Mus musculus: one gene and its partners. The protein of the gene in region 1 interacts with the protein of each later gene in a biochemical or structural test. Links are inferred from orthologs where the notes say so. Each region holds a gene or a part of one and is shown in the gene's direction. Other genes may lie near its edges.

What was found.
Region 2: of the proteins of Clspn (region 1) and Csnk1g1, one has a biochemical effect on the other in vitro, tested with the Homo sapiens proteins (2 studies listed by BioGRID). The link is inferred for Mus musculus from reciprocal best matches to the Homo sapiens genes CLSPN and CSNK1G1.
Region 3: of the proteins of Clspn (region 1) and Usp20, one has a biochemical effect on the other in vitro, tested with the Homo sapiens proteins (2 studies listed by BioGRID, with this or other methods). The link is inferred for Mus musculus from reciprocal best matches to the Homo sapiens genes CLSPN and USP20.

What each region holds. Positions count from the first base shown.
Region 1 is NC_000070.6:126,574,106-126,583,825, forward strand, and holds part of Clspn (claspin), read left to right. Parts: intron 1-535; coding exon 536-711; intron 712-989; coding exon 990-1,054; intron 1,055-1,740; coding exon 1,741-1,937; intron 1,938-2,236; coding exon 2,237-2,391; intron 2,392-3,507; coding exon 3,508-3,737; intron 3,738-4,217; coding exon 4,218-4,329; intron 4,330-6,854; coding exon 6,855-6,930; intron 6,931-7,326; coding exon 7,327-7,424; intron 7,425-9,720.
Region 2 is NC_000075.6:65,903,887-65,914,306, forward strand, and holds the start of Csnk1g1 (casein kinase I), read left to right. Parts: upstream 1-5,123; 5' UTR 5,124-5,282; intron 5,283-5,401; exon of another isoform or gene 5,402-5,776; intron 5,777-10,420.
Region 3 is NC_000068.7:30,977,866-30,988,182, forward strand, and holds the start of Usp20 (ubiquitin carboxyl-terminal hydrolase 20), read left to right. Parts: upstream 1-4,413; 5' UTR 4,414-4,533; intron 4,534-10,317. Other genes in the region: BC005624 (telomere length and silencing protein 1 homolog), read right to left, coding at 27-104, 1,030-1,100, 2,134-2,185, 3,618-3,677, 3,913-3,995.

The sequences.
Region 1 (9,720 bases):
ACCCTGAGTAAAGAAAGAGCAGGGAGTGTCTGAGCTGGGCAGCACATTGTATTGTCTGTGCCTGACTAGGATGCACAGTCATCTTTCCTCTAGGCTGACTACTTTCCTACTGCCTTAGTAACATGCCAGTATAATCGTCCTTCATAATTTTGTAGCAATTTGAGGAGTATGGAAAGCTCTAAAAGCTAGGCAGGTGTGGTGGCACTCACATTTAATCCTAGCATTCAGGAAGCAGAGGCAGGTTGGTCTCTGTAAATTCAAGGCTAGCTTGGTCTACAGAGTGAGTTCAGACTAGTCAGGGACCCAGGCCCATGTGGTGAGATGCTGTGTGAAAAACGAAGAGAAGAAAAAGAAAAAAACCCACTCTGTCAGAGGAGTGAGATTACTGATAGTGCTTGGACTTAGTTTGTTTCCAGTCACCTTTTCAGGCTTGAGCTGTAGCCTATAACCAAGAATCCACATTTCAGGCTAGGTGTGGAATTACTTTTAACATTTTTTGACTTGTATTATTATTATTTTTACATGATTGGCATAGACTACAGAATATCTTCTTGGTAGTGAAGATACAGAAACCAAAGATGAAAAAGAAACAGATAAAGAAAATACAGACACCAGTAGTGACATTGGCAAGTCTGTTGCCCTCTGTGTCCCCAAGCCTCTCTCTTCAGACTCCACCTTACTTCTGTTTAAGGACAGCTCTTCTAAGATGGGGTAAGTTCTTATAAGGAAATACAAAATTCTTTTGGATTTCTGAAGACTTTCTTAAAGGTGTGTGAGTGTGTCTGTGCACGGGTATGCGCACACGAGTGTAGGTGCCTGAGGAGGCCAGAAGAGGGCACTGGATCCACTGCAGCTGGGAACCAGTCTTGGAACCTCTAGAAGAGCAGTGTGCACTCTTAACTATGGGCCATTTCTCCAGCCCATCCTTGAATTTTTTTTACAAGAGAATAGGAAGTAAGAACTCAGCAGTTTACTATTTTATTTTGTAGTTACTTTCCTACTGAAGAAAAGTCAGAAACAGATGAATACTTGGCCAAGCAGTCTGACAAACTGGGTAAGTAGTGATCCTTATGTAGAACGTTTCTTTAGTTCTGATATGTAAAGGCCATAGTCTCTCAAAAGTTTCTTCCTTCCTTTTTTATTCTATTAATAGCACATTCTTACATGTAGCAATGGCAGGGATTTATGAATTAAAATGGTTTTCATGGCCCATTTTTTGTTTATTTTTTTAACATTGACTTACTTTTACTCTGTGAGCATGAGTGTCACACCTGTGTGAATGTGTGTGCCTGGTGCTCACAGAGGCCGGAGAGGGTCCTGGACCAGGACTTACAGATGGTTGTGAGCTATCATGTGAGTGCTGAGAATTGAACCTGGGTCGTCTGTAAGAAAGTAAGGGCCCTCCAGGCCCTGGGCTGCATGTCTATAGTTGACCATGGACATAGGGTGGATCCTGAGTGGGTGTGTGTTGATTTGTTGATTGAGTGACACATGAGATAGTTTTATGCAAAGATCACAGAGAAGTATGTATTTAGACAGAAGAGAAGGAAGAGAGTGTCCGCGTGTCACTGAGCTCAGAGTAATGAGCCCTAAGTATACAACACTCTTGTCAGGATGACCTGGAGCCTAGAACTTAAGTGATTTGCCAGTGAATTTCACCTGTTCGATTCTCTGCTCTCTTTTCTAAACAAATGTACCTCGTTCCTGTGTTCAGAATGATACCTCTCTCCTCTCCTTTAGATGAGGATGACTCGAGTTCACTGCTAACAAAGGAGAGCAGTCACAATAGCAGCTTTGAGCTGATTGGTTCCACAATTCCATCCTATCAGCCTTGCAACAGACAGATAGGCCGTGGGGCAAGTTTTCTCCCTACAGCAGGATTCAGATCGCCGTCCCCTGGGCTGTTCCGAGGGAGTTTGATCAGCTCGGCTTCTAAGGTAAGGCGGGGAGAGTTGTTCTCATCTCTGTTCACTGCCCACATTGCTAAATAGAGTGCGTCCCAGCCAACCAACTCCCACCACCGAGGTGCTCAGCTTTAGAAATCCACCCGCTTCGTGTATTAGCAGGCGTTCTTGCTTACAGGTAGTTTTCCTCGGGTTCTGTTGACAGTACATTGTCTTCCTCACTGTGGTTGCTTGAGAGCGGATGACATATTGCAAGTAGCAACTTCTGTTGTTGTGGTGACACTGGATGGCATTTGTGAAATGTTTTGCTTTTGTTTTTGTTTTGGTGCCAGAGTTCAGGAAAACTGTCTGAGCCTTCACTTCCCGTAGAGGATTCCCAGGATCTGTACACCGCCTCCCCAGAGCCTAAGACACTTTTCCTAGGAGCAGGAGACTTCCAGTTCTGTTTGGAAGATGACACTCAGAGCCAACTGTTGGATGCAGATGGGTAGGTAGTTTTGTGTTTCTGTGGGTGGGAATAAGGCTGGGTGCTGCTTAATTTTGTTTAAAAATAAAATGAGCTTCTGCCACTCCATCTGCGCTTTCTCTTCTGAGAAAGAGAAGGTGTCCTGGCCATTAGTCTTATATTCCACGAGTTTGAACGAAGTCTCCAGAAAATAAAATGTAAATACCCCTTGCTGGCATTCCTATTCTCTGATCTCATTTCATATACACAGTCCTTGTATTATAAGGGCTTTCGCTGTTCATCCCCTTGTGTTCTGATTGTTGGGTAAGATTAGGATATAGTACCCATCCCTGATATATCATTAGAAGCCACCTTTATACCTTAGAAGTTAGTCTTTATACCTCACCTTTTGACAAACCTTGCCCGTCCTCCCTGTCTAGGTTAGCATGAGGCTAAACTTGTTGCCTGGGTTGAGGCCCAGTGTTAGTTACTGGTCTTGTGGCTCTGACAAGATCCTGAGAAAGCCTCTAAAAAAGGAGGTTTACTTTGAGTACTGGTTCCAGTGGCCATCGTGTGTCACAGCGGGGCAGTCATGGCAGCAGGAGCACAGGCATGGGGCACATCGCCCCCACAGTCAGGAAGAAGAAAGAGATGAGTGATGTTCATCTTCTTTTCTCCTGTTTAGTCAGTCCCTGACCCTGGCCCATGGAATGTACCACGCACCGTTAGAGTGGGTCTTCCTGCCTCTTTTAATCTAATCTAGCTAATCCCTTGAAGACACACCCAGAGATGTGTTTCCGTGGTGATTCTAAGTCCCTTCACCTTGAAATTTGAGATCTTCACATTTAGCTTCTTGGTTTTCTTTTTATAATTCTTCAAAATTACATTTTGTTTATCTTGTGTGTGTACATGTGTGAGCACAGATGAGCCACCGTATACATGAGAAGGTCACAGGACAACTTGCTGAAGTTAGTTCCCTCTACCTTGTGGATTCTGGGAATGGAACTGAACGCCTCAGGCTTTGCAGCGAGCACCTTTCCCACTCAGCGGTCTTGCTGGCCACGTTCAGCTTCTAACCCTGGTGCTGGAAGTCAGGAGGTTTTTACCTGTCGTTTGTCTCTCCTCTGGGTAATTTCCGACACTTCACTGTACTCGTAGATTTTTAAACATTAGAAATCACCGCCATCGATATCAGGCTGTGAAGCCCCAGTTGCCACTGGCCAGCATGGACGAGAATGCCATGGACGCCAACATGGACGAGCTGCTGGATTTGTGCACTGGACAGTTTACATCTCAGCCTGAGGAGAAATGTCAACCAAGGAAGAATGACAAAAAAGAAAACATGGAGGAACTTTTGAATCTCTGCTCGGGCAAATTTCCTACTCAAGGTAAATGTTCTGCGAGAGTCCAGGTAGCACAGCGAGAATTCAGTCAGCTCATGTCACCGTCCCCGGAAAGAAGCTCTTGCCCCCTCTCTGTAAGTGCACAGAAAACAGGGATGGGATGGAATCCTGCCACTTCCTCACCTTTACAGTGACACTGTCAACTTAGGACTGCTTTAGCTTCAGCATCACAGTGTATAACTTAATCTCTCTACGGAGGTTAGAACAGTGTCTGGTGGGGAGTAAACGTTGCATGCTTGCTGAAACAGGAAGTGGGCTCTCTGAGGTAATTGGGTGTTCATTTTGTTCATGACTGTCTTCCTGGGGCTCAGCACACAGTAAATATGAGGAAGGATTTGTTGAAAGAATGGATGGTGAACTTTTCCACATCCCACCTAAGAACTGAATTGAGCTGGTGGGTACATAGATGGCCAGGAGAGCAGAGGTGGCGTTTCCTTCCTTACTGGCCTTTCCTTGTTGAGGTAGATGCCTCCCCGGTGGCCCCACTGGGGCTGAGGAGTCAGGAGAAGGAGAGCAGCACAGAAGATCCGATGGAAGAGGCACTTGCTCTTTGCTCCGGCTCTTTCCCAACAGACAGGTGAGTCTCAAAGGTTGTCGGGAACGCAGGAAGATGAAACCCTAGGATCCGCTGGCATAGTGATGCACACCTTTAATCCCAGCACTCTGGAGACAGAGGCAGGCGGATCTCTTGAGTTCCAGGACAGCCAGGGATACACCGAGAAAACAAAAGCAAAAAAACAACCAACTAAGCAATCCTAGGATCCGGTTCTCTGTGTTTAGCAACAAACTAAGTAACTTTGGGAAAGGCAGATCTTTTAAGGTGACTACAGTTTTTATATAAACTAAGTATTGGCAAAGATCAGGGAAACCTCTGCTTGTTCTTGGTGAGCTGCTAGGGAAACAAGTTCAGTGGTTTCTCAGAGCTGATAATAGAATTGCCATCTGATCCAGCAGCTCCACTTTGGCTCTAGAGAAGTCTGAGTGGTGGCACATGCCTGTTACCTCAAAAAGAACCTCAGAAAGCCTAGTGTGGTATGTGCTTAGAATCCAATAGTCTAGAAACAGGCAAGAAAATCAAGTTCAGGCCAGGTAAGTGGCTCAGTGTCAAATACTTGACACCAAGCCTAAAGACCTGAGTTCAATCCCTAGTGTCTAACGAGGTGGGAAAGAACCAACCTCTACAAGTTGACCTCTGGCCTCTTTATGTAGTATAGTAGTTATAACGTGTGTAGTTATAGATGCACATGCCTGTACATTCACACACAGTAAATAAATAAATGTATAAATAAATGAAGGCAAGAAGGGTGAGGTCAGCCCTGCTACTCCTTTCTTATACCTAAATGAATAAAACAGGTTTTTATAATTTGTGTTTAACATAATTTGATAATAGCCAAAATAAAGAGGAAGTGTGGCTGCTGACTTGTTAAGGTTATTGTTGCTGTGATAAAACACCACGAGAAAAAGCAAATTGGAAGGGCTGGAGAGATGGCTCAGTGTTTAAGAGCACTGACTGCTCTTCCAAAGGTTGTGAGTTCAAATCCCAGCAACCACATGATGGTTTACAACCATCTGTAATGAGATTGATGCCCTCTTCTGGTGTGTCTAAAGACAGCTACAGTGTACTCACCATATAATAAATAAATAAGTCTTTTTTTTTTTTTAAAGCAAATTGGGGAGGAAAGGGTTTATTTAGCTTACTCTTCCTCATCACTGTTCATCATCAAAAGAAATCAAGACAGAAACTTAAGCAGGGCAGGAATCTGAAGACAGGAGCTGATACAGAGGCCATGGAGGAGTGTGCATACTGACTAGCTCAACCTGCTTTCTTATAGAACCCAGGACCACCAGTCCAGGACCACCTCAGTGGGCTGGGCCCTCCTCCATCAGTCACTCATTAAGAAAATGCACTACAGGAGCTAGAGAGGTGGCTCAGTGGTTAAGAGCACTGGCTGCTCTTCCAAACAACCTGGGCTCGATTCCTGGCAACTGCATGGCAGCTCACAACTCTCTATAGCTAGGGTTCTAGAATCTGACATCTTCATGCAGACATATATGCCGGCAAAACACCAATGAGTGTAAAATAATACAGTGAAAAGAAAAAGAAAATGTCCTATACACTTGCGTACCACTCTGTCTTATGGAGGCATTTTCTCAATTGAGGCTCCCTCCTCCATGATTATAGCTTGTGTCAGGTTGACATAAAACTAGCCAGCACATCTGCTAAATAGAATTTATATGCATTACATGGCTTTAAAAGGAAGGAAATTTGTTTTTGTTATTTGAGACCAGGTCTTCCTATGCAGCCCATACTGGCCTGGAATTCACTGTTAGTTCAGGCTGACCTCAAACTAGTAATCCTCTGCTTCATCCACCAAGTGTGTACATCAAACCCAGCCAATAGGAGGGAAGTATGACACATGCTTCACCATGGAGGGACCGTGACGATATGCTAGGAACAAGAAACATTTGTCACTGAGGGACAAGTACTGTATAAGTCTGCCTATATAGTCACTGGAGTAAGCAGTTTGACAGAGACAGGAAATTAGATGGTGGCTGGAGAAAGAGAGGAAGATTTGTCTAATAGGCGTAGAGTTTTTACTACCTGAAGGACTTCGGAGGTTGCTTATATAATAGTCTCAACGTAATTTTTTCTGTTTTGTTTTGAGACTAGGTCTCATTCTGTAGCCCTGGCTGACCTGGACCTCACTCTATAGACCAGATTAGCCTCAAACTCACAGAGATCCTACTTCCTTCTGTCTCCCAAGTGCTGGAATGAAAGGCCTGGACCACTACACCCAGGGATGACTAGCCTTTCTAGTCAGTCCACTCTGAGCATCCTTATCTCTGCCTTATGAGGCTGTAATTACAGGTGGGCCACTCTGCCAAGCTGGCACTGATGCAGGTTCTGGGGTCAAAACTCCAGTTTTCACAGTAGCAGGGTAAATGCTTTAGCCCTCAGGCTCAAAACACCTTTTTAAAAAGACAAAATACCTCATTTCCCGCTTCTTAAAAGAAATTTCTGGTGCTGATGAGTGTCTTAAGTCCTTAGCTTGGCTGGCTGCTTGTGGTGTGCTTTCAGTAACTTAGTGTTTTGTCCTCTAGGGAGGAAGAGGGTGAAGAGGAGGAATTTGGAGACTTCCAGCTTGTTTCAAAGGAGAATGGATTTGCTAGTGACGAGGTGAGTGCAGAGAGAGTACAACCAAGCTCCACTCGGTGCTCCCCTGCCCTCGTTCTTGAGAACTGAGCTTAGCGTCTTACCAGAAGCAGTGTCCTGTGCTGAGGCGTGGGGACAGAACTTTATAAACCCTCTTGTTGCCTTCTGGTTTTGTCTCATGGCGCTGGAGCTCAAACCTGGGACCATGTGCCCGAAATCCTAGTGCTTTAGGAGGCTGAGGTAGGTTTGTGAGTTCAAGACCAGCCTGTGCTGCACAGCTAGACTCTGTCTACAAAGTAAACAGTTTAGGAACAGGGAAAAGAGCACAGGACTCTGTTCCGTGCTTAAGGCGTGGCAGCACTCCCTTACTGTGATCCCTGTTGTCGGTGTGTAACTGAGTTTGCTGCTCTGCCGTGGCAGGATGAACACAGTGACTCCAATGATGAAGAGCTGGCCCTGGACCTGGAGGATGATGAAGAAGAGCTCCTGAAGCAGTCTGAGAAGATGAAGCGCCAAATGTAGGTGTTCTGTCCAGCTTCTAGACAGTTCTCCCAAGTTGAGGTATAGCCTGCTACCTTTTTAAATAAACTTGCTGGTTTGGTTTCTGCTTTTCGAGATTAACATTTAAACCAGTCCTTCATGGCCTTGAGGCAAATGAGGTGACTGAGCAGGTAAAAGTGCTTCCTGTGCAACCCTGACTGCCAGGAAGGCAGTCTAGATCCCATGATGAAAGCAGAAAACCAATTTCCAGAGGTTTTCCTCTGATCTCCACACTTGTGCCATGGCACACATATGCACATGAATAAGTTTTTTAAAACCCTTCTGTGGCCACTTCTTGTTTTGTTTTTTGGGTTTTTTTTGAGACAGGGTTTCTCTGTGTAGCTCTGGCTGTCCTGAAACTCACTTTGTAGACCAGGCTGGCCTCGAACTCAGAAATCCGCCTGCCTCTTCCTCCCGAGTGCTGCGATTAAAGGCGTGCGCCACCACGCCTGGCTTCTGTGGCTACTTCTTGCGTACTCAAAGATGGTTCTATTTTCCTTAAGTGACATCAATACCAAATATCTCTCAATTCCTCCCAGACCCAATGACATTTCAGTAGCGTTGCTTCCTACTCTCATCGTGTCCTGGAATAGTCTCTCTCTAATCAGGTGTGCTCTGGCTGTTTGTTAGATGGGTATTAGTCATGTGACCCAAGATCAGGAGAACTGAGTCAGTCCCTATGCCCTAAGACTATGCTGATAACTGACCTTGGCAGGAACTGCTCCTATGAAGTCTGTCATTCCTGGTTTTCTTGATTCTCGTCTCAGACAAATGGCCTGCTTAATTTTTTTATATTTAAAATATTTGTCACTCATGAGAGTAAAACTTTTAGAGTATTCAAAAGAATGTATGAGCTGGGGATATAGGTAGAGGACTTGCCTGTATGAATGAGGCCCTGAGCTTAATCTCCACCACATACTACTAAAAACATAGGTGGGTGGGTGGGTGGGTGGGTGGGTGGTGGGTAAGCTAATGGAGGGATGGACAGATGGACAGGGATTGGCAGTGAAGCTCAATAGTAAAGCACTGCATAGTATGTGTAAGGTTCTGGTTTATCCCCAGCACCACAAACGTGAAGGGAAGGATGGGGGGGAGGAGGGAGGAAAGCAGGGAGGGAACTGTTGATATCAATTGGCCAGAATGTGTGTGAAAGCATTGGTAGTACATTTCCTCATAACATCTGGGATTTAAACAATTTCTTTGTGTGTTTCACTTTGCATCTTTACTTTCCCTCATAGCATATCCATAGTATCATAATCTTAAGCAGTTTCACAAAGGTAATTTGATAAAGATCCAGTAGCTTATAGCATGTGCATGACTTTTCCATTCATGTCAGGACGTCATATTGATCTCTATTAGATTTATATTGTTGCTTTTGGCCTGTCATTTCATCCTCTTAAGATCCAGCTGGGGTTCTCATTTGTCACCTGTCACTTTAACTTTTTTGTGTAACTTTAGAATATAACCAGGTCTTTTAACCCCCAGAGGTAGTATTTGTTAAACTTATTTAACTGCAGAGATTTTTCAAATCAGTCCTTAAAGAATGGCAACCAGCTAGGCAGTGGTGGCGCACGCCTTTAATCCCAGCACTTGGGAGGCAGAGGCAGGGGGTTTCTGAGTTCGAGGCTAGCCTGGTCTACAGAGTGAGTTCCAAGACAGCTAGGGCTACAGAGAAACCCTGTCTTGAAAAACCAAAAAAAAAAAAAAAAAAAAAAAAAAAGAATGGCAACCAAAGATGAACTGTCAGCAACATTCCTGAGAAGCCTGGAGACTAATGGCCGTTGAAGGAACTCTCCAGGAAGCCTAGCATTTAGAGGGAAAATACAATATATCTCTGACTAAGAGGTCATCTTTCAAGCTAGGCACAGTGGCCGTGCATTTAATCCCAGCACCGATCTACACAGTGAACTCCAGGACAGCCAGGGTTACATAAGGAGAACTTGTCTCAAAAAGAAAAATAACTCATCTATCAGACCCACCAAATTTCTGCTTCTTGTGACCATAGAGAAGAGGACTTTGAAGGCTGCCTTCTTAAAGAGAATGAAGTTAGAAAAATTAATAGGCCGGCGGGTGGTGCAGACCTGTGACTACCTACTTGAATGCTCAGCTAGGACAATGATACGTCAAGGTCACCCTGGCCTACAGAGTTTTAGCTATCCCAGGCAACTTACCAAGAAGTATCTCAAAATGTAAGAGTAGAGCTGAAGTTTAGAGGGCTTTAGAGAACAGCCTCACTTGTGCAAGGCTATACACTCAGTCTCCAGCACCTCACCA
Region 2 (10,420 bases), on another chromosome or scaffold:
AAAAGGGGTGGGATTGTTTTTAAGAAGTATGGGTTTTGTTTGTTTGTTTGCTTGTTTGTTTAGTTACAACCCCCTTTTAAGAATTATTTATGTATATGAGCACACTGGAGCTGTCTTCAGACACACCAGAAGAGGTCATTAGATCCCATTACAGATGGTTGTGAGCCACCAATGTGGCTCCTAGGGATAGGACCTCTGGAAGAGCAGTCAGTGCTCTTAACCATTGAGCCATCTCTCTAGCCCCTTGAAGAAGTATGTTAAATTAAGTTTTTTAAGGTTAGATTTTAGTGGCTCTGAGATCTAATTTGCTCTTTTTCACTAGTAGAACTACTTTATGATGGTGAGCCTAATTTTGATGTGTATAATTGTTTCTAAAATGTAAAATGAACTTAATTGTATTATTGAGTGTGCATACATATACGTATATGGTGTGGATGTGTTGAGGAACATGTGTAAAGGTTAGAGGACAACTTGTGAGAATCAGTGCTTTCCACCATGATCAAATTCAGGTCCTCGGGCTTGGCAGGAAGTACCTTGACTTGTACTGAGCCATCTTTCCAGCCCCTTTCTGCCCCCCACCCCACTCCTTTGAGAAAAGGGCTCCCTAAATTCTACTATACTTAGAATCTTAAAGATTAACTCTTCTTTCTTTTGGTTTTGAAGATAGAGTTTCAGTATAGCCTTGGCTATTCTGGAACTTGCACTATAGACCAGAGGCTGGCTTCAAACTCAAGAGATCTGCCTGCCTCAGCCTCCCGAGAGCTAGGATTAAAGGGATGTGCCACTACTGCCTGGCTGAGATGAACTCTTTTTTAGAAAAACTGCAAGTTTAACTGGGACTTGCAAGTTTAACCAACATTGTTATAATTGGTCTTTTATTTTTTCTTTTTCTTTTTTTTTTTTAATCTTTGAGAATAGCATATAGAAATCAAAGAAACTGTCATCAAATCAAATTTGTAGGACTATTAGAAACCATCTTGTTCAATGCAGGCCAGCCAGTAAGTGTTCACTAAATGGACTGTCCTATTACTCAACAGTAATTGTGAAACAGTAATTGTGAAAATGTTGAGTGTAAGTTGTTTTAATTCCTATTTATTTTTGGTTCCATTCTTGAAAGAACTAGCTATTCCACACGTCAACCTCCAGTTATTTAAAGATGAATTATATCTTTAGCCTTCACTTCTTCAGGCTTAACATTTTATTGTTTGTCACATATCCTGAGTTTGTCTGGATCATTTATATATAGGAGTTATATCTTTTCAATTGTTTATTGCTTAGACACAGTAATGGTTAACTTGGCTAAGTTTCTTCTTATAGGCCAGATTGTTCATCAATGAACTATTCATTTCTAATTCTGGTATATTTTTATGTCTAGTGAAACCAGATGAGCTCTAGCAGTACATATTTTTATTTTATTGTTTGTAACTCAGATGGCCTTGAGTGTGATCTTATCTGTCTTCTGAGTTCCAGCTGTATGCTACCATAGCGAGGCCTCAAACAAGGTTTCAGTACTAATTACATATCAAATGTGTTCTTTTTGTTGTTTAGTCCAGGCTGGGTTAGAATTCATATCAATCCTCCTCACTCAGTTTCTGAAGTGATGTACACAGGCACCATGCACAATTTAATTTTTTAAGTCATTTCAAAGAAAATAAAATGAAGGGGCTGGTGAGATGGTTCAGTGAGTAAGAGCACTGACTGCTCTTCCGAAGAGTATTTCAATTCCCAGCAACCACATGGTGGCTTATAACCACCCATGAGATCTGACACCCTCTTCTGGCACGTCTGAAGGTAGCTACAATGTACTTATTTATAATAATAATAATAATAATAAATAAATAAATAAATAAATCTTTGGGCCAAGCCTGGACGCCTTTAATCCCAGCACTTGGGAGGCAGAGGCAGGCGAATTTCTGAGTTCGAGGCCAGCCTGGTCTACAGAGTGAGTTCCAGGATAGCCAGGACTATACAGAGAAACCCTGTCTCAAAAACAAACAAACAAACAAAAGAAACAACAAAAACAAATCTTTGGGCTAGAGTAAGCAGGGTTTGAGTGAGTAGGGCCAACTGGAGTGAGCAGGGTTGACCAACAACCAGATCAAGGCTCACAACTATCTCTACAGCTACAGTGTATACTCATATACATAAAATAAATAATTTTAAAAAAGAAAAAATTAAAAAGTGAATATAAAAAGACACTGTTAGGAGGCTGAAAGTCCCATATTAGTCATATATGATGAGGGTACTGCACTGGTTGTGAAGGCTATTCGGGATCTAGCCTATATATATGCTACTGTTTTATAGCTCATATTAAGAGTATAGATTCCTCGGCCAGCAAAATCACTCAAAGGGTAGAGCGACTACCAATGCCAAACCTGCCGCCTTGAGCTCAGTCTCTAGACCATCGATATGGTTGAAAAGGAGAAGGGACTCCTTCAACACATCCTTTGACCTCCACATTCACAATGGTATGTCAGCACCAACACATACACAAATAAATATAATAAAGAGAATAAGATTTTTGTAGTTAAGCCCACATAGGCAGTTGTAGTGTAGGACTTTGCAACTCACCTTCCCAGGCCTCTAAGCATGACTATGTTGAAAATGAAAGAATTATAAAAGCTCATGTGGTCAGGCAATGGTGGTGGTGCACGCTTTTAATCCCAGCACTTGGGAGGCAGAGGCAGGAGGATTTCTGAGTTCAAGGCAAGCCTGATCTATAGAGTGAGTTCCAGGACAGCCAGGGCTACACAGAGAAACCCTGTCTCGAAAAGCAAAACAAACAAACAAACAAAAGCTCATGTGGGGCTGGAAAGATGGCTCAGTGGTTAAGAGCACCAACTGTTCTTCCAGAGGTCCTGAGTTCCATTCCCAGCAACCACAGGGTGGCTCACAACCATCTGTAATGGGATCCGATGCCCTCTTCTGGGGTGTCTGAAGGCAGCAACAGTGTACTCATACATTAAGTGAATAAATAAATCTTTAAAAAAAAAAAAAAGCTCATGTGGTTATTTAGGACTCAATCCAGATTTTCATATATTAATAGAACAGTGAATTAAAAAACCCCAAGGCTATAGGAAAGGAGCTAAATGCTGCTTGTAAACCACCTCAGGCAGTGGACAGAGAGCTCTGCAGATGAAGGTGCATTTCCACATTAGCTTAAGCTTATGGTTAGTTCTAACTGAATTTTATTTGATGAGGCACCAATTTCTATAGGCCACATTTTTTTAAACCATAAACATGTTCTAGTTCTTTAGATGTATTGTAAACTGTTGCATGTTGGACTTATATTTATTTTAGAATTTAAAGTTTGGAATTTAGACCTGCTGGCAGGTGAAATACTAAACTACTGTAACACTCATCACTGACCCAGATTGTGTGTGTGTGTGTTTGTGTGTGTGTGTGTGTGTGTATTTCCAATTGTATACACGATGATGGTGGGGGTAGGGAATGGAACTATTTTAGACTTAATAACCAACTGCTGGTACATTTGAGCCTAAAGTGGTTTCTTAAAAGCTTTGCAGAGTTGACTGCCTAGGATGGATCAATTTAATGCCATCCTATGAGTCTAGGAAATGAAAAGGCCTAGTGTTACTTTTCAATTACCAAAATTAGTTTTCTGTCTTAGCTGAGGTAAACAACAGTCTACTAATAATTTTGTGACCAATAAAATCGGGTCTTACAGTTGCAAGTGTATCCACTGATGTAGATGAGAAAAATTCAGAAGTTAAAGTTAAAATAGGAAAGCCGGTCCATCCCGGTAGTGAACGCTTTAAATCCCAGCACCTGGGAGAAGAGGAAGGTGGGTCTCTGAATTCAGGGCCAGCCTGGTCTACATAGACATTACCTGATCAGTCATCCAGGGCTTCAAAGTGAGATTCAGACTCAAAAAATAATACAGTCAAGTGATGGTTTTATCCCCCACCCCAGGTTTCTCTAAAAATATAATTACTATAATTATAGGGGTCGTTACAGGGGGTTATTTTGTTGGCTTTGGTCTCCACCATAGTTTTCCAGTTTTTTCAAAGAGTGAACTTATGCCTCGGGTATGTTAGGTAAAATGTTTTAAAACTGGGACTGACCATGTAGTCTAGGCCTTGGAGTTACTATCCTCGCTTTTCCTCTGGAGTCTAAGCATTACAGGTCTGCTTGTCATGTCCAGTAAATGAGTCTCCTTGCCTCCCTTCCTTTCTTCGATGCCTGGGAATCGAACTAAAGACCTTGGGCATGCCAGGCAAGTTTTGTATCACAGACCTAAATCCCCAGCCTAAATGAGGGTTTTTATGGACACCTTTCTTAGTCACCGTATAGGTATGTTGGTTTATTCTGATGGGAGGCTTAGTTGTCTTCCTACTCAAGCGAGATTACCGGCATTCTTTGTCTCCCCCAACTCCCCCGTTTTATGGAATAACAATAATAATATTACTCTGGTCAATTTTCATAGACTCAAATATAGCTAGGTTATTTCCAGGTCACACATAAAAACGTTAAATCCTTAAAAAAAAAAAAAAAAAGAAAAAAGAAAAGACAAGGTAAGACAAAACTTTCTTACCCACTTCACTGTTCGACTTCTGGAGCCGGTTCAGAACGAAATGCATGCAAAAGTCTGGTTGAAACGACAGGAAATCCACCAGAGGGAGATGCTTGCTAGACAGTGAGAAAGAAGCTCCCGCAAGGGGCCTGGAGAGGAGCTTTGGGAGGAGCTGCCGAGATGGCCCAGGATTCCAGGAGGTGTGTGTAGTTTGGAGCTGGTGTCAGAGACCAACTGATGGAAGCAGCTACGTTGGGCCTACTACCTGCTGCAGCGAAGGGTTTACCTGGCCTAACATTGTAAACTAAAGGCCTAAAAACATTTCCAAATGAGAAAACGAAGCTCCCAACCCACTTACCAACAGTCCCCGAAGAAATGGGGGGGGAAGGGGGGTATTTAAAGGCACTTCCGCTTAGCAACCCCACGCTGTTGCTAAGGAGGGGCCGCAGCATTAACGACCCGGAAGTGGTGGTCTGAATTTCACAGCGACGACAGGGGTTTGTCCTATCAGAAGAACGAGGATGCTCTGCGGCTCCAGGAGGTGGGTGGGACCTGCATTAGTACTTCCGGCTTGGCTCGGCCGCCCCTCAACTGGTCTTCCCCCTCCCCTCCGCCTCCTCCGCTCCCTCCGCTCCCTCCCGCTCCTGGGAAAGCAAAGCTGCGGCTTAAGGGGTGGTTGAGAGAAGCAGTAGGCGCCTCGGGGAGGGGACCGCGCCCGCCCCCTTGGAACACTGGAGCACCGCTGATTTAGGTAGGTACTCTGGCTTCGACTGGGTCTGGGAGACTGGAGTCTGAGATGTGTGTGTGTGTGTACGTGTGTGTGTGGGGGGGGTGGGGTGGGGGCTTTAGGAGCCCTTCGCTGGGGCGGGGCAGTGGACTCGGGAATCCCGGGTGGGGCGCGGGCCTGTCCGTGGAGGGTTGCGGGGGCGGGACAGAGGGACCAGGGTCCCTGCGTGCAAAGAGTTGCGGGTTGCGGGTTAGACCCGGTCGCAGGAGGCGCCCTTTCTGAAGCAGGGACTTCGGCCAATGCAGACCGGGAGTTTCCCACCTGGAGTGCCAGCTCCGAAAAGAAGGGGGAGCATCATCCAGGGCCGAAATCAAGGGTATAGACTTGGAGAGGTGACTGTGGTCATCCTGTGCTTCACATTGTCCGCGTCCCGGACTCTCTGTTGGGACAGAGCCGGGCTTCGAGGGCTTGTAAGGGTTTCGTGTCGGCTGGGCACCGTGGAGCCGCCCTTGGCAGAGGTAGGGCAGAAGAGTGGGTAATGAGACCTCCCTCCACCCAACTTCCGTGCGCTTCCCCCGCTTCTTCCTTTATTGCTCTCTCGGCAGGGCGCCCTATAGGAGCGTTGTCCCCTAAGTGGGTACGCATCACGTCGTAAAACAAGAGTGTGAAACTGGGTTTGTTGCCCCCGGATGATTTTTCGGATATTTGCAAAGTGCCAGAATGGCATATTCTAGCAGTCTCCCAGACCGATATGAGTCTGGTATGAATTTTCTTAGAAAATGCAATACTGGAAGGCATCTGACTATATTCAAACGTAGCCTTGTAAATGAGCATGCTTTAAAAAAACCACTAGGAAATCCATATTTAGAGGTCTAGATGAGACATGTTTAGGCAAGCCTTTTTCAACCTCTTTCTCACCTGCCAGTAATCCTTTTGTGGTTTAAACGAATTAGAAATGCTATCTTCATTTTGTTTAAGTGACTGAATTGTAGGAAGTATAGTATATGTCTTAGAAGAACTAGTGAACATTTAGAGAGACAAGGGACAAGAGTCCCTTTCCAATGATTGAACTCTCTCTTAATCTTTTAAGGAGATAATTATGTTCAAGTGGAAGTATTGGCTTTGAGAAAGATAATTCTGGGAATGAACCCGCCTTTGCCTCTTAACTAGTTGTTGACTTTGGTCAAGTCACAGACTAACAGTTTCAGCCTCTTCACAAGGAGGAATTAAATTCTAGTCAGTGTCAAAAGAGAGGTGATTACTTATATAACTCCATTTAAAACAAGCACCTTTGAATTTCAAGGTTGTCATTAGTCAACATAGTTAAGGGAGCCCAACTTAGTGGAAGGGGATTTTTGAAAAAGAAACTGATAATATTCAAATAGTATACGGCAGGAATTCGAGGTTTGGGTTTTTTGTTGTTGTTGTTGTTGTTGTTGTTGTTTTGTTTTTGTTTTTGTCTCACACACACACACACACACACACACACACTCACGCTCTGGCTGGCCTGGAAGTCACTCTGTAGACCAGGTTGTATTGTACTCACAGAGCTCCGCCTGCCTCTGCCTCCCCAGTGCTGGGATTAAAGGCATGCACCACCACTGCCCGGCTTTATTATTCTTTATTTTGTAGTTCTGAGCATTCAGTTCAGAACGGTCTCACACAGTTTTCACTATTGAGATACAACTTTAGATCCTAGAAATTGATCATATGTAGCATAAAATGCAATTATCAATAGTTTCCTAAAGCCCATATTAAGTACAATATGTTTATTTTTTTGAAATGACCAAAGTACATTTTATAGGTTCTTCTCAGATAATCTTTATGCTGTTAGATATAGCATGGATTGAAATAAAAAACATAAGTAACTTACTTAAATCTTAAATCACGTGTCTTCTTAATGGAAGTTAAACTTGGGGCATAAAATAGTAATTGTAAGGTCAACATCACTTGCATGACCCATCTTAGATTATAAGATTAGCAAAACTTAGTTTTGTTTTGTTATTTTGAGACTGACTTATCATGTAAACTCAGGCTGGCCTTGATCGTGAGATACTCTTTCCCCTGGAGTGTTGGGGTTACAGCTGTTTGATAATTCACTTGACTTCTAGAAAATTCTTATATAAACTATAAAATGAATAAATGAAAATACAATAAATTCCTCCTTCTAAATCATTAGTAATCAGAATGTAGAAATGATTTTAGAAAATGAAATATTGACATATGCTTACTTGCCTTGTGGATTTAAAATTGTAGTTCTTTGTAGCCTGTTTGTTTGTTTGAGACAGGGTTTCTCTGTGTAGTCCTGGCTGTCCTGGACCCTTGGTAGATCAAGATGGCCTTGAACTCACTGAGATCCACCTGTTTTTGACTCTCAAGTGCTGGGATTAAAGGCATGTGCTTCCAAACCCCATTTATTGATGGATTGGTTTTTCCTCTGTAGCCTATTATGTTGGTCTTTTCTTTTCTTTTTGGAAAAGGGTTTCACTGTGTAACCTTGGCTGGTTCAGAAATTGTTTTGTATAGCAGATTTACTTGGAACTCACAAAAATCCGTTTGCCTCTGCTCCCCAAGTGCTGGGACTAAAAGCAGGCATCATCACAGCTTCTGTTGGATTTTCGACTAACAGGTTTTCTTTCTGGTTAGTAATCTTTTATATATACTTTAGTTATGTACTTTTATTTTATGTGCATTGATGTTTTGCCTGCATGTGTCTCTGTGTGACATCTTGGAGTTACAGACAGTTATGAGCTGCCATGTGGGTGCTAGGATTTGAACCTTAGTCCTCTGGAAGAGCAGTCAGTACCTTTAACAGCTGAGCCATCTCTTCAGTCCCTGTGGTTAGTTTAAAACATTTCAAATATACTTTATATTCAAAGGGGCTGAATATAATAACATCCTTTTTTTTGTTTTTGTTTTTTGTTGTTGTTTTGTTTTGTTTTTTGAGACAGGGTTTCTCTGTGTAGCCCTGGTTGTCCTTTGACTCACTATGTAGACCAGGCTGGCCTCGAACTCAGAAATCCGCCTCTGCCTGCCTCTGCCTGCCTCTGCCTCCCAAGTGCTGGGATTAAAGGCGTGCGCCACCACGTCCGGCTAAATAACGTTTTAGAAGCAGGGTTGAAATTATGTTTTGCTCTGATTGAGGCTTTTTGGTGTGGTGATTCAAATTTCCAAATGGCGTTTTTAAAGGGAACATTCTTAAATTCATATCTAGGTTTTTTGGCTATGTTTTTTGAGTTGTTATTTTTCATTACTTAAAGTTGAAGTTATGTTGTCTTGCTAGCTCTCAGCACTGTCTGTCTTTTACCTGTCTTTTTATAAAATGTTAATCCATTTATTTTTCATATAAGGAATAGGATAATAGCTATTTGGTGTGAAAATTCTGCCTAAATTATATGCCACAAATACAAAACCATTGGATATACTTTCCCTAGTGATCTCTTCCACAAGAAGTCTGTGACCAAGCCAGAGATCTTTGCAGTTGTCAGTTGTGGAATTTGCTGGTGAGGGAATCTAAGAACTGTTGACCCTTCTTGAACAGCTCTTTGATGATGTTAAAAAGTTTAGGCATAATAGAGGAGATGTGTATAAGGACATAGACACATACATTTGTACATATGCACAATATAGTAAAATCATAGAATCAGCACAATAGTTAGTTATGTTGTGGTGCTGTTAAACCAGGAGCAAAAGAATTACTGTGGAAATGTTAAAAATAAAAAAAGTCCAGAAACTACTTTGTTTTTACTGTAACCATGGGACTTTTCTCTCCTGAGCTTGTTCCTACCTTATACCGTATTTTATGGAAATGGTTATTTAGCTTCTAATTAAGTTAAATAATCTTTATATTAAGGCTATTAATTTTTAATATTTATGTTAGTATATAAAATAACCTTTATATTAAGATATAAAATAGAATGTAGTTAGATTTTAATGTCACCAGTTTGGTAGTAACTGCTTCAGTGGCTTTACATACATAGTAGACTTTCCTGGAAGAACTTTGGATTTGTAGAATGATAGTTTTTCCTTCACAGCGACTCTATCCACTGGGGCCTAATATAGAATCTCCGAGAAGCTGGGGAGAGGAAAAGAGTGAATTTGCTTGAGAATTACCATTTTAAGTTTTATAGATTTCTTATTTAGAAAGCTAAATTGGATTTTGACATTATTGGGATTGTGTTCAAGATGGACTCAGGGAAAAAATGAGTTGCCATCTGTTTCACATTCCTTCTTTCCTCCCCCTCCCATGTTTTGTGGCTTTGAATTCATCAGATTATTTTTCAAAAATACAAACCCTCAGTAGATTTAGATTATATAATATTAATACGTAACTAAATAACATGGATTGTTATGTTGCGTTATATAGGACAATAATAGACAATGCATAAAGGTAATTGTTGAATTATTTAATGTTCTGGATTTGGCTTCAAATTTGCTATATAGTCAAGGCTGGCCTTAAACTTTTGATCCTCTTGTGTTATCTTATAAGTGCTGAGATTGCAGGCCTGTGCCACCAGATCTGGTATTGCTAAGCCATTTTTGTCATTTCCACTTACTATAGTTTAATTGCTGGTGAAAGCTATGTTTTTTTTTTTAAGGAGTATATTAGAATAAATGGTGGTATTAGAATAAATCTTTATTGATTCGGTAGATCACAACCTGAAAAACAAAAGTCTGCTCAGAATTTTTATTTAGTGACAAACACACTCTAATTTATACTTGTAGCAATAGTTTTTCCTTACCTATATACCTATGGCTTTGTTTTAATCTAAAATGTATACCCAATTCAATTTGGATTTTTTTGACAGGCAGGTGCAGGGCACATTTGAATCTAAATAAATGCCAAGCAGGGGCAATTAGGTTTCCAGAACTGAGAAAAAGCATACTTTGCTGAGTATAGTAGTTGGTACTTAGCCTGACCTTAGAGACCCAGGTATCTTTGATAGGCTGTAAAGCAGAACTAATGTGATATCCCAGAAATGGCCTGAAGAGAGAGCCATCTGGACAGAAGAGACTCATGCTTTGTCTCCAGCAGGAATGTTCTGGTGAGGTAGGAAGACAGATGGACTATCCCTACACCACTGTAGTTTGTCCCTCACTTAGAAGCTTCAAGTGGGCAGCGTAGTTATGTGGGGCTGGGATGCCAGGGATAGTAATTTTTT
Region 3 (10,317 bases), on another chromosome or scaffold:
AGACAATGGGCCTCACTGGTACCTACATGTCTGCATCTTCGTCCCTCCGGTTGGTCTCTGCAGAAAACGATGTCCCCAGGTGCAGATCCTCCTCTTCACTGACCCTGAGAGGAGGGAGCAGGTCACAGTCATTGATGCCAAGTTACCACAGAACACACATGAAAACATAAGACACAGGATGGTATGTAAAGAGACAATGCTAGACACATATGCAAGCAGGAAGGCAACGTCGGCTGAGACTTTGGGGAATGAGTGCATTTTTTTTTTAAAGATTGATTGGTTTATGTATGTATGTGAGTACACGTCACACTCTACAGACACACTAGAAAAGGGTACCAGATTCTAGTGAGCCACATGTAGCTCCTAGGAATTGAACTCAGGACCTCTGGAAGAGAGCAGTCAGTGCTCTTAACCACTGAGCCATCGCTCCAGTCTGAATGCATGCTTTCTTTTGCAAACTTTTATAATAGTTAAGTTTCTGTGTGTGCCAAGGTTGTGTCAGAGTGCCCTTCTTTTTAGCTTCTCCCCTTTGTCTCTTACTAACCCAGAGCTCATTATTTTGGCCACCGAGTCTCAGGACACTTACCCGATGCTGGGGTTACAGATACACGCTGTCCCACTAGGCTTTTATGTGAGGGTCAGGGATCTACCTCAGGCCCTCAGCTCTACTTGCTATGCCCTAGTTACTTAAATACACTTACACATTTTCTCAGTTGCTTTATTCAGAGAGGGTCTAGTGCAGCCCAGGCTGACCCTGGACTCCTAATCCTTCTGTTTCCATCTGCAGAGTGCTGGGTTGTCAGTATATCATTTTCTAACTATGTTTTCATGCAAAGCTTCTCCCCATGTCTGAAATAACAAACAAGGCCCTTTTACCCTTTTACAAAAGAATCTTCTCTCTTGGCTCTGAGCCCTCCTGGGAGTTTGTACCTTGGCACACTTATGGTATGCTCTATGCGGGATGTCCCTCCCTGTCCCTGCACACTCAGGCCCAGGCGACAGTGTCTGCACCCCGCTCCCCCCACTTACTTGTCTTTGCCCCGCTCCTTCAGTTTCTTCATGTCCACCATGCCCCCTGTCGCCATTTGGAAAGGATCATCCTGCAGAAAAGCACACAGCTTAGAGGACACATCTAGAACAACAGCAGCTCAGTTAGTGTCATCATCGAGTGTGCTGGTGTGCATGAACATGTATGTGCACACACGTGCAGGCCAGATGTTAACGCTGTGTGTTCTCATCAATCTTTCACCATGCTGCTGCTGTTGTTGTTGTTTTAATTTCTCTGCATGTATATGTAATTGTGCATATTGTGTGGTTGTGGAGGCAAGCGGCCAAACTCAGGAATCTGTCCCAATCACTTTCCACCTTAAATTTCAGAGACAGGGAGGTTACTGATTTGGGTGGACTGGCTGGTCAGCCAGCTCTAGACATCTATATGACTCCACCGGACCCCCTGGTAGGAATACAGATGTAAGCTATCATATATGGCTATTATGTGGGTGCTAGGAGCCTGACTCAGAAACAATGTTAGCACTTTAGCCTCAGAGCCATTTCCTCAACCCTTTGACTTATACTGAGAGAGAGGGTCTCTCAGCTTGCTTATTCCGCTACATTATCCTCTCTGCCTCCCCAGTGCTCAGATTATAGACATGTGCCACCATGCCTAGGTTTTTATGGGATGCCATGGAATCCAAACATGGACTCTTGTGCTTACATAACAAACACTCTGAGCTATCTCCCTGGTACCATGGTTATAGTCACAGGGGCTGGAGAGATGGCTCAGTAGTTAAGAGCATATGCCTTTAATCCCAGCACTTGGGAGGCAGAGGCAGGCAGATTTCTGAGTTCGAGGCCTGCCTGGTCTACAGAGTGAGTTCCAGCACAGCCAGGGCTACACAGAGAAACCAAAAAAAAAAAAAAAAAAAAAAAAAGCACCAACTACTCTTCTGAAGGTCCTGAGTTCAAATCCCAGCAACCACATGGTGGCTCACAACCATCTGTAATGAGATCTGACGCCCTCTTCTGGAGGGTCTGAAGACAGCTACAGTGTACTTACATATAATAAATTTAAAAAATCTTAAAAAAAAAAAAAAAAAAGAGGAAGAACAGCCCCAGAGAGGAGCCAACACTCACCACCAGAGTAGTCTCCTCTTGAACCTTCTCTCCTACCAGCAGGGCAGCCGCACTGAGCAAAAGAAACCAAACCACAGAAAGAGAAACAACACAGAGACAAGGAGGAAATCAGTGTGCTGGCTAGGGTTTTGTTGATCTGACATAAGCTGGAATTGTCTGGGAAGAAGAAACTTCAATCGAGAACCTGCTCCTGTGGACAGTGCTCCTCCCCGTGGGCAAGTGGGCCTGTGTTGTACAACATAGCTGGATGTGAATGAGCCAGGAAGCAGTGTCCTCCAGTCTCTGCTTCAGGCCCTGCCATGATTCCCCCAATAACTGAGGATGATCAGGAAGGGTACAAGTTGTTTTGGTCCTGGTCACAGCAGTAGGAAGCAAACTGAGACAATTGGGATTACATAACTGAGAGAGTAGTGGGCAGTAGTTACAAAAGCCAAAGAAGAACCCAGTGCTCTGCTCGCTGTGAATGGTGAAATGGGGGGTCGGGTGAGAGGCAATGAAGCAGTTGGCGCACGCTCCTGCAAAGCCATTTGATATTCTGGAAATCACAGAGTAAGGTTCTGCCAGTCAAGGGATCTGTATCAGAAGACATATGCCAGAGGAAAATTTATCAAAATGACCCTAAAACCTGAAGCCAAGGCTTGACAGGGACTGAGTAAGCACACCAGCACTGAGCTATCCCCACCATTTCTTGTTTACTTTATGACCCAGGTCTCATAGTTGCTCAGTCAGGCCTTAAACCTGTGATCTTCCCACACAGCTGGGACTACAGTGCTATGGCACTAGGATGGGCCTTGTTGATGCTGAGACCAGTTTCACTCTGCAGGCCCGGCTGGCACCAAACTCATGGTAATCCCACTGTTTCAGTTTCTCAAGTCTGGGAGTCTAGGTGTGAGGCAGCACACAATCCCAGTCAATCTGGTAGCAAGTTATAGTGCACACCCCTGGCAATGCACACGACGCAGCCTTCTAAAAAGGTTTTCTGGAAAACACACACCATGGTCAGAGGCTCACAGTAATATGATGATTTAACTCTTTAAAAGCATGGGATAAACTAAAAAAGAAATAGGTGGGAAATAAATGGAAATATTATTATAAATGCTGTCTCTCTACCTCAAGTTTTTTTCTTTTTCTTTATTCTTCTTATGAAGCCTAGGTTGCCCTCAAACTCCCTGTGATAGGATTGCACCAAACCAGGCTATTGTTTATTTATTATACTTTTTAACCTAAGTTTCCCAAATTCTTATCTCTTAACACGTTGTCAATCACAATTCATCAGTCCAGCTAAAATTTACAGTTAGTGACTTGGAGCAGACCCATAGACCATCAGGTTCAGGGCATGTGACAAACATTTATAAAGAACCTTAGTTCCCTCTATGATCAGTAGAACTGTATGTCAAAGGAGGGATTTGTGACTGCGACCCTAGCTGGAAATTTTTGTTTTAGCTGGAAATCAATGACGCCGCGACCACCCCCGTGGTACCCACCTCACCCCATTTGGCCTCTTCCGCAAGTTCTGCACCTCTCGGGTTTCTTCCAGTTTTAGCCTGGGGGAAAAAAAGGAATAAAAAGTGACGCACAGGTTGAGACCTGCGGAACTCAAAAGCCAAACTCCGTTCTAAGGACATGTCCCTTTGCCGAGTCCCTGATCCAGTGGTCATCGGCAGTCAGACCCATGCGACCCCGGGGCACCTCTCCCAGCCGCGATGTGGCCTTATCCCTAGGAGCCTCTGCGTGGCGCTGGCCGGTATCCAGTCCCAAGCCTGTCTCAGCAACACGTACCGAACCTCCTCTGATTCTTGTTCATCCTCCTCCGACTCCGAGTCAGCCCGGCGCCGGCGGAATGTTTTCCCAGTAATCCGCATAGCGGAACCAGACCCTTGGCGCTGCGTTACCAGACGCGTAGTCCAGGGAACCTCTCTCTTCCGGCGCGCAGAAGTGTCGTCAGAGCGTCGGCTGCACTCAGACCCGCCTCCGCCTTGCCAGGCCACACCCCAAGCCCGTAGGGCCCCGCCTCAGCAGGGCAGGCAACCACTCCGAACTCCGAAAAGCAAGGGCAGGTATTGCCGCGTGGCCACACCCTCGACCACGCCCATCGAGTAACCATGCTCACCGCTCAACAGGACGGCCTTCGAACCACACGGTGAAACCCCAGCAGCACGGCCACTCCCCCGACTCCCGGCATGCTTGGGCACTCACCACTCGCACGGCCACGCCTCCGGCGTGCCCGGTACCGCCCTCTAGTAGGCTGTGACCTGTGACACCGCCCCCGCTCCTGGCATAGGCTCTCCCGATTGGACGTCTGACGGTGAGGAGGCGGGGCGTGGCAGGCAGAGCCACAAGACTCTAGGCAGCGCCGCGGTGGGCTAGCTTGACTGACAGGCGGCGCGGTTGCGACGGCAGGTGAGTTTCTGACGGCTGCTGCCTGCTGCCGGGGGCTGGGCCGCTAGAGCGGGGATCATCGTCCAGCCGCTGGGAGCAGGGGAGGCCTGGCTTTGCGGGGCGGCCAGGACCTGGTAAGAGGTCCCCGCCGCCTATCATCCCATCACCGACTCCCGTGCCCGCCCCGAACCCCCACGGCTCTGGCTTTTGAGCAGGCCGCACGTCGCTTGGAAGGCCAGCAGGAGGCCACTCGGGCTCCAGGGCTCGGACGTGCACATTTATTCCTCACTCACAAAAGCTGATCACCTTGCCGGGGGTGAATATCAGTCCCGGTGCTGACTGTCCATACCAGGTTGGCCTGCAGCCATTCGTCCCTAGGAGAGGTACCACTGACGTTCAGAGGCCAGGGACTGCTCTTTGAGAGCTTGGGAGGACTCGTTTGGCCTGGAGGACTGTCGCTCTGCCATAAGCACCTTACACCCCCGAGATGTTGCGACGGTAGTTAGTTTTTAAAGGTGTCTATAAACACTTATAAGATGGATAAGTGCATGCGTAATAGCTCACATGGGACTTTTAGGGACTCCTTAATTACTAGTTTCCTCTGGAGCACAGCGCTTCTTACTCGACACTTAACTGTGGCAGGCACTGGGGTAAGCAGTCTCTTCTAGAAGCCTTCCATCAAATCCCACGAAGTAGATGCAGTTGGGTCTCTCTTTCAAAAAACGAGGCTACCGAGGCGTAAGAGAAGTAACCCGTACTTCAAGTTCTGCAGCTGGGAGGTGAGGCTGGGTTGGGGACAGAGCTTTCACAGCTGCAGGGTGTGCTTCAGGGACAGCGGGCCTCTGTGGGTCTTCCCTGCTGCTGCTGCAGCTGGTGTGCCAGCTTATGGGCTGGGGGAGGGGCTGATGGACACTTTTTCCAGAAGACTATTCTGAAGCAGGGAGGGCATGTCTGCCATGCCTTGGCTTTTTTCCAGAACATTTTTTTTTCTGAAGTTGTCATATTCCCCTTAGACTGGGACAAAGAGAAAACTCGGGATGTCTTGAAACAGCCTTTTAGCTTTGATCAAAGAGGCATTAAGTATCAAAAGTCTTGACCCCACTGGAGATTAGATCAACCATCTTCAGATGTCGATGGCAGTCATTGGACACCATGTCTCTGTTGGCTGAAAAAGAGGCACCTTGGGAACTGCTGCATGAATCCAGGGACTTGGGTGTACAATTCTCACAGGCTCAGAGGTGGCTCTTAATTTCCCTGCCTAACCATGCCTTACCCCTTAACCTCTAGGGTACTGGGCCTCTCTGGTGCCTCCAAGGAAAGTCACAAGGTCAAGAGCATTTTGAGACATTCCTCATTTGAAGATACAGAGAGGGACATCTGATACAAACAAGTTGTCCCTTGTTTGTATCTGCATTCCCATCCTTGAAGCCAGAATGCCAGGTGATACCAACTCCCTGGGCTCTGGCAGACGGAGTTGATTCTCGTTTGACACAAGTGCCGCTTGGAGTGTGGCAGCTGGAAATTTGACCTAGGTGCTGGATACAGAGACTGCAGTCGCTCTGAGTAGTGTTTTTGGAAGTAAAAGTGCTCTGGAAAGGAGCCTCCAGGAAAGTGAGGGGTCTCAGATATTAGTCTGGCATGACAGGTGGGATGGGTGCTGACTTTCTGCGGAGCTGGATGGATGCTTAAGGAGCAGTCACATCTGGGATGGCCTCGTCATGGTAAGCATTCCAAAGTGCTTATTTGAGTTGGGTAACGATGGCACGTGCAGAGGCAGGCAGATCTCTGTGAGTCCCAGGACAGCTAAGGCTACCCAGAGAGACCCTGTCTCCAGAAACCAAATAAAAATAAATAAATAAGAAAAAAGGAGAAGCCTGGCAGTGGTGCGCACACCTTTAATTCCAGCACTTGGGAGGCAGAGACAGTCGGGATTTCTGAGTTTGGGGTCAGCCTGGTCTACAGTGAGCTCCAGGACAGCCAGGGCTACACAGAGAAACCCTGTCTCCAAAATCCAAAAAGAAGAAGGAGGAGGAGGAGGAGGAAGAGGAGGAGAAGGAGAAAAAGAAGAAGAGGAGGAGGAGAAGGAAGAAGAAGAAGAAGAAGAAGAAGAAGAAGAAGAAGAAGAAGAAGAAGAAGAAGAAGAAGAAGAAGAAGAAGAAGAAATAGTAGTAGTAGTAGTAGTTCAGGGACCTGGGCCACAGTCTACGAGGGGACTCTTCAGAGTCAATGGAAAGGAAAGTACATTATAGGTTTGGGACTCTTTCCAGGCTAGCACGATTTTTTTTTCCTTAAAAAACAAAAACAAAGCCTTGCTGGAGCTAGGAGGTGAAGATAGGCCCTGTGTCCACTGGCTGGCCCATTTGGGATTTTGGAGCCACAGTTCTTTTAGATCACTGACTGCAGAGCAGGTCTCCTGGGTTTTGTCGTGGCTCTGGGGTCCTGGCTCCGTGACTCGGCACCTTTCCCCACCATTGGTGATGGATGGGTTGCATCCTGGCCTTCCAGGGCAGTATTGGGAGTCCTTCGAGGTCATTCTTGGGAGAGCTCGAGACTTGGAGCTGTTAGCAGAGCTACTAAGGTAGGGTACCTGGTAGGCAGAAAGACCTAGAGGTGTGAGAAGGGGGTAGAGATGCCACACAGCTTAAGAGTCAATGGGAAGCCGGGCATGGTGGCGCATGCCTTTAGTCCCAGCACTTGGGAGGCAGAGACAGGCAGATTTCTGAGTTTGAGGCCAGCCTGGTCTACAGAGTGAGTTCCAGGACAGCCAGGGCTACACAGAGAAACCCTGTCTCGAAAAACAAAACAAAACAAACAAAACAAAACAAACAAAAATAAAGAGTCAATGGGAAGTAATGGGACAGGGAGGTGGACGGTGTCTGGAATTTGGGGGAAGAGTGAGAAAAGGAAGATGCACGTGTCAGCAAGGGGCGTGGCGTTCTGGTTAGGGGCTGTGGTTGGCCCATGCGAGGATCTGTGAGTGGTGGCTGAAGGAACCTGTGTGGGCGGAGGCTCGGCAGAGCCACTTTCAGATCCCAAGGGTGACTCCCTGGGAGGCGGAGGAATATTACCAGAAGCTCTGGGGAAAGTGATGAGTAATGGGCACCTGTGGCTGCCAGGCCTTCAAGTGAGTGCGCAGCCGCGGCTGCCCCTCCAAGGCCCCGCCCCCAGCCGGCCCTGAGGGTGGGGCTCCCTGGTTGCCTGCTAGCTGTCCTTGCAGGTGCTTGCATCTTAACTCAGGTCTCAGGGCAGGAGAGGCGGCCTCTTTGCCTCCGTCCTTACTCTACAGCTCTAGAGGTGGGAGTGTGAGAGCAGCTGCACAGTGGGCCGTGCTGCTCTTCAAGGGGCCTGTACCCAGAACCTGGTACTTTAATGGAGATGAGCCTCATTCTCCTGCCTAAGCTGATATTGGCCTTTTTTCTTTATTTTCCATATCTGCATTTCCTAATGTCACTGCTGCTGAGTCATGGAAAAGTAAACACATTCTGGCCCCTTTATGCCCAAGTATCTCAAGCAATCAAATCCCCAGAGAGAGGAAGTCACCATAAACAGCCAGCCTGGGTTTCTCCTGCAAAACTTTGCAGTGACCATTCTCCAAGGCCACTGTGACAGAGCAACAGGTGGGCCTGCTGAAACAACTGAAAGTAAGGCTGGCGAGTTCTGAGCTCAGAGCTCGAGGTGAAGGTGGTGTCAGATAGCACCTTGTGCTTGTGGCCATTGCTTCTTTGTGCTTGAGGCTCAGATATTTACATCCCACTCGGCCCTCCACAGAGACCTAGTTTTTCTTTAATTATCTTTCCCAAGTCCTTACCTCCAATTGCCCACCGACTCTAGGTGCTGGTGCTTCGAAAGGGTACTGCGGAACAGTTCAGTTGTTAGCAGTGCTGGGGAACTGCTCAGTCAGGACAGTGCTTGCCCAGCGCACATGAGGACCTGAGCTTAGTCAGAGCTCCTGTGGAAATGTGTGTGGTGTATGCCTATAAATCCTGGTGCTGGAGAAGGGGAGATTCCTGACCAGCCTGCTTAGTCAAGGAGCTTCAGGCTCTGGGAGAGAAACTGTCTCAAGAAACAAGGCGAACAGCTCTAGAGAAGTGGCATCCAAGGTTGGCCTCTGGCTTACACATGTGCACCCTCATCCCTGCCCCAGATAAATTCTTTAAAAACCTGTTATCTAATGTGCACTCCAAATGCTAGCTTGCTTATTGTTCAGGGATGTTTTGCCCATCTTCTTTTAAGAGAAGAGGGCCACCTGTCCCCTCCTCTCTCACTTTCCTCTCTCCTTCTTTATGTTTGTGGTTTTAGTTTTTGTTTGGGGATTAAAAGCATATGTCAGCACACCCAACTTCTCTGTTGTTTTTTTTTTTGTTGTTGTTGTTGTTGTTGTTGGTTTGTTTGTTTGTTTTAGGTTTTTTTAGTTTGGTTTGTTTTTTTTCGAGACAGGGTTTCTCTATGTAGCCCTGGCTGTCCTGGAACTCACTCTGTAGACCAGGCTGGCATGGAACTGAACTCAGAAATTCGACTGTCTCTACCTCCCAAGTGCTGGGTGTGCACCACCACTGCCCGGCCCTGGAACTCTTTTGTGCACCAGATTGGCCTGGAACTCCTACCTCTGCCTCCCGAGTGCTAGAATTTAAGGCTTGTGCCACTGCTGTCACCACCAGGCTGTTTTTTAAAGATGTATTTTTATTGGTTTTTTGTTTGGAGAAAGGGTTTCACTGTGTATCCTGACTAACTAGAATCTATTTCTGTAGACCAACCTGGTCTCAAACCCAGAGTTTTACCTGCCTCTGCCCTCTTTCCAACCCTCAAGGATTAAGGACATATGTCACTACACCTGGCAGAGGTAAGAGGTAGCCAGTGGATCGATTATTGGACATGGCTTGATTACATAGGTGGATATGGCGGGGGGGGGGGGGGGGGACACTGTTCCTACACATAGTCCTTGCCCAGTGATAGCGGATAAGTTGAGCCTAGCGCTCTGTTGTTTCCACCGGCATGTTGCAGCTTCATCAGAGTGGTTGACTGCCTTTATAAATTCCATGCCTTCATAGTAAGGGGGTGCCACATCATACCAGAGCCAGCATGATTTAGTGGCTTCAGGGTTAGTGCTATTAATAACCCTGAAAGCCTCTTGGACTAGATGGGTCGAGTGAGATTGCTCAGGCGGGTTGAGGGGAGCAGTCTCAATGACTCTTTTCAAAGGGGTCTCAGTACCATGCGAATGGGGCGGTGGTGATGGTCTGGGGTTTATCTTAACTGGGGCCAAGACTTTGTTGGGACCCAAAGGAGTGTAGGGGGGGTCTTTATTATTAATTTGGTAGTGAACAACATTCCCTCATCATATCGTTCTTTGTAAAGCCTAAGACCCCAAGTGTATCCTTTTGTCCATTCTAGAGCTTGCTTCCCTGGTTCAGTGAAGGTAATATAGAGTGGATGGCACCAGTCAGCACACTCAGCTACATCTTTTCCTCCAGGCATGTAGGGCTCTAGGGTATAGTTGGCTTTTACTTTAACATAATCCCAGCTCAAGGTGGGGTTTCAGTAGGCCTCAACTGAAATCTCACAGCTCCAGCTCTTGGAGAAGAAGTCAGCCCTACCTCCGCACTTTGGATTGAGGGACTGCCTCCGGTGGAACCCGGGACAGACATAGAAGGGATGGGTTCGGAGTCTGCTTCTATCAAATCGGGTAGAGCAACCTCCCCATGGGTCTCTCAGATGCTTGTCTACATACAGAAGAGATGTTGAAGGTGCCGTCTGAGTATCAGAATACCCTCCTAGGTCCCAACCAGGAGGTGCTCCTATAGCCAA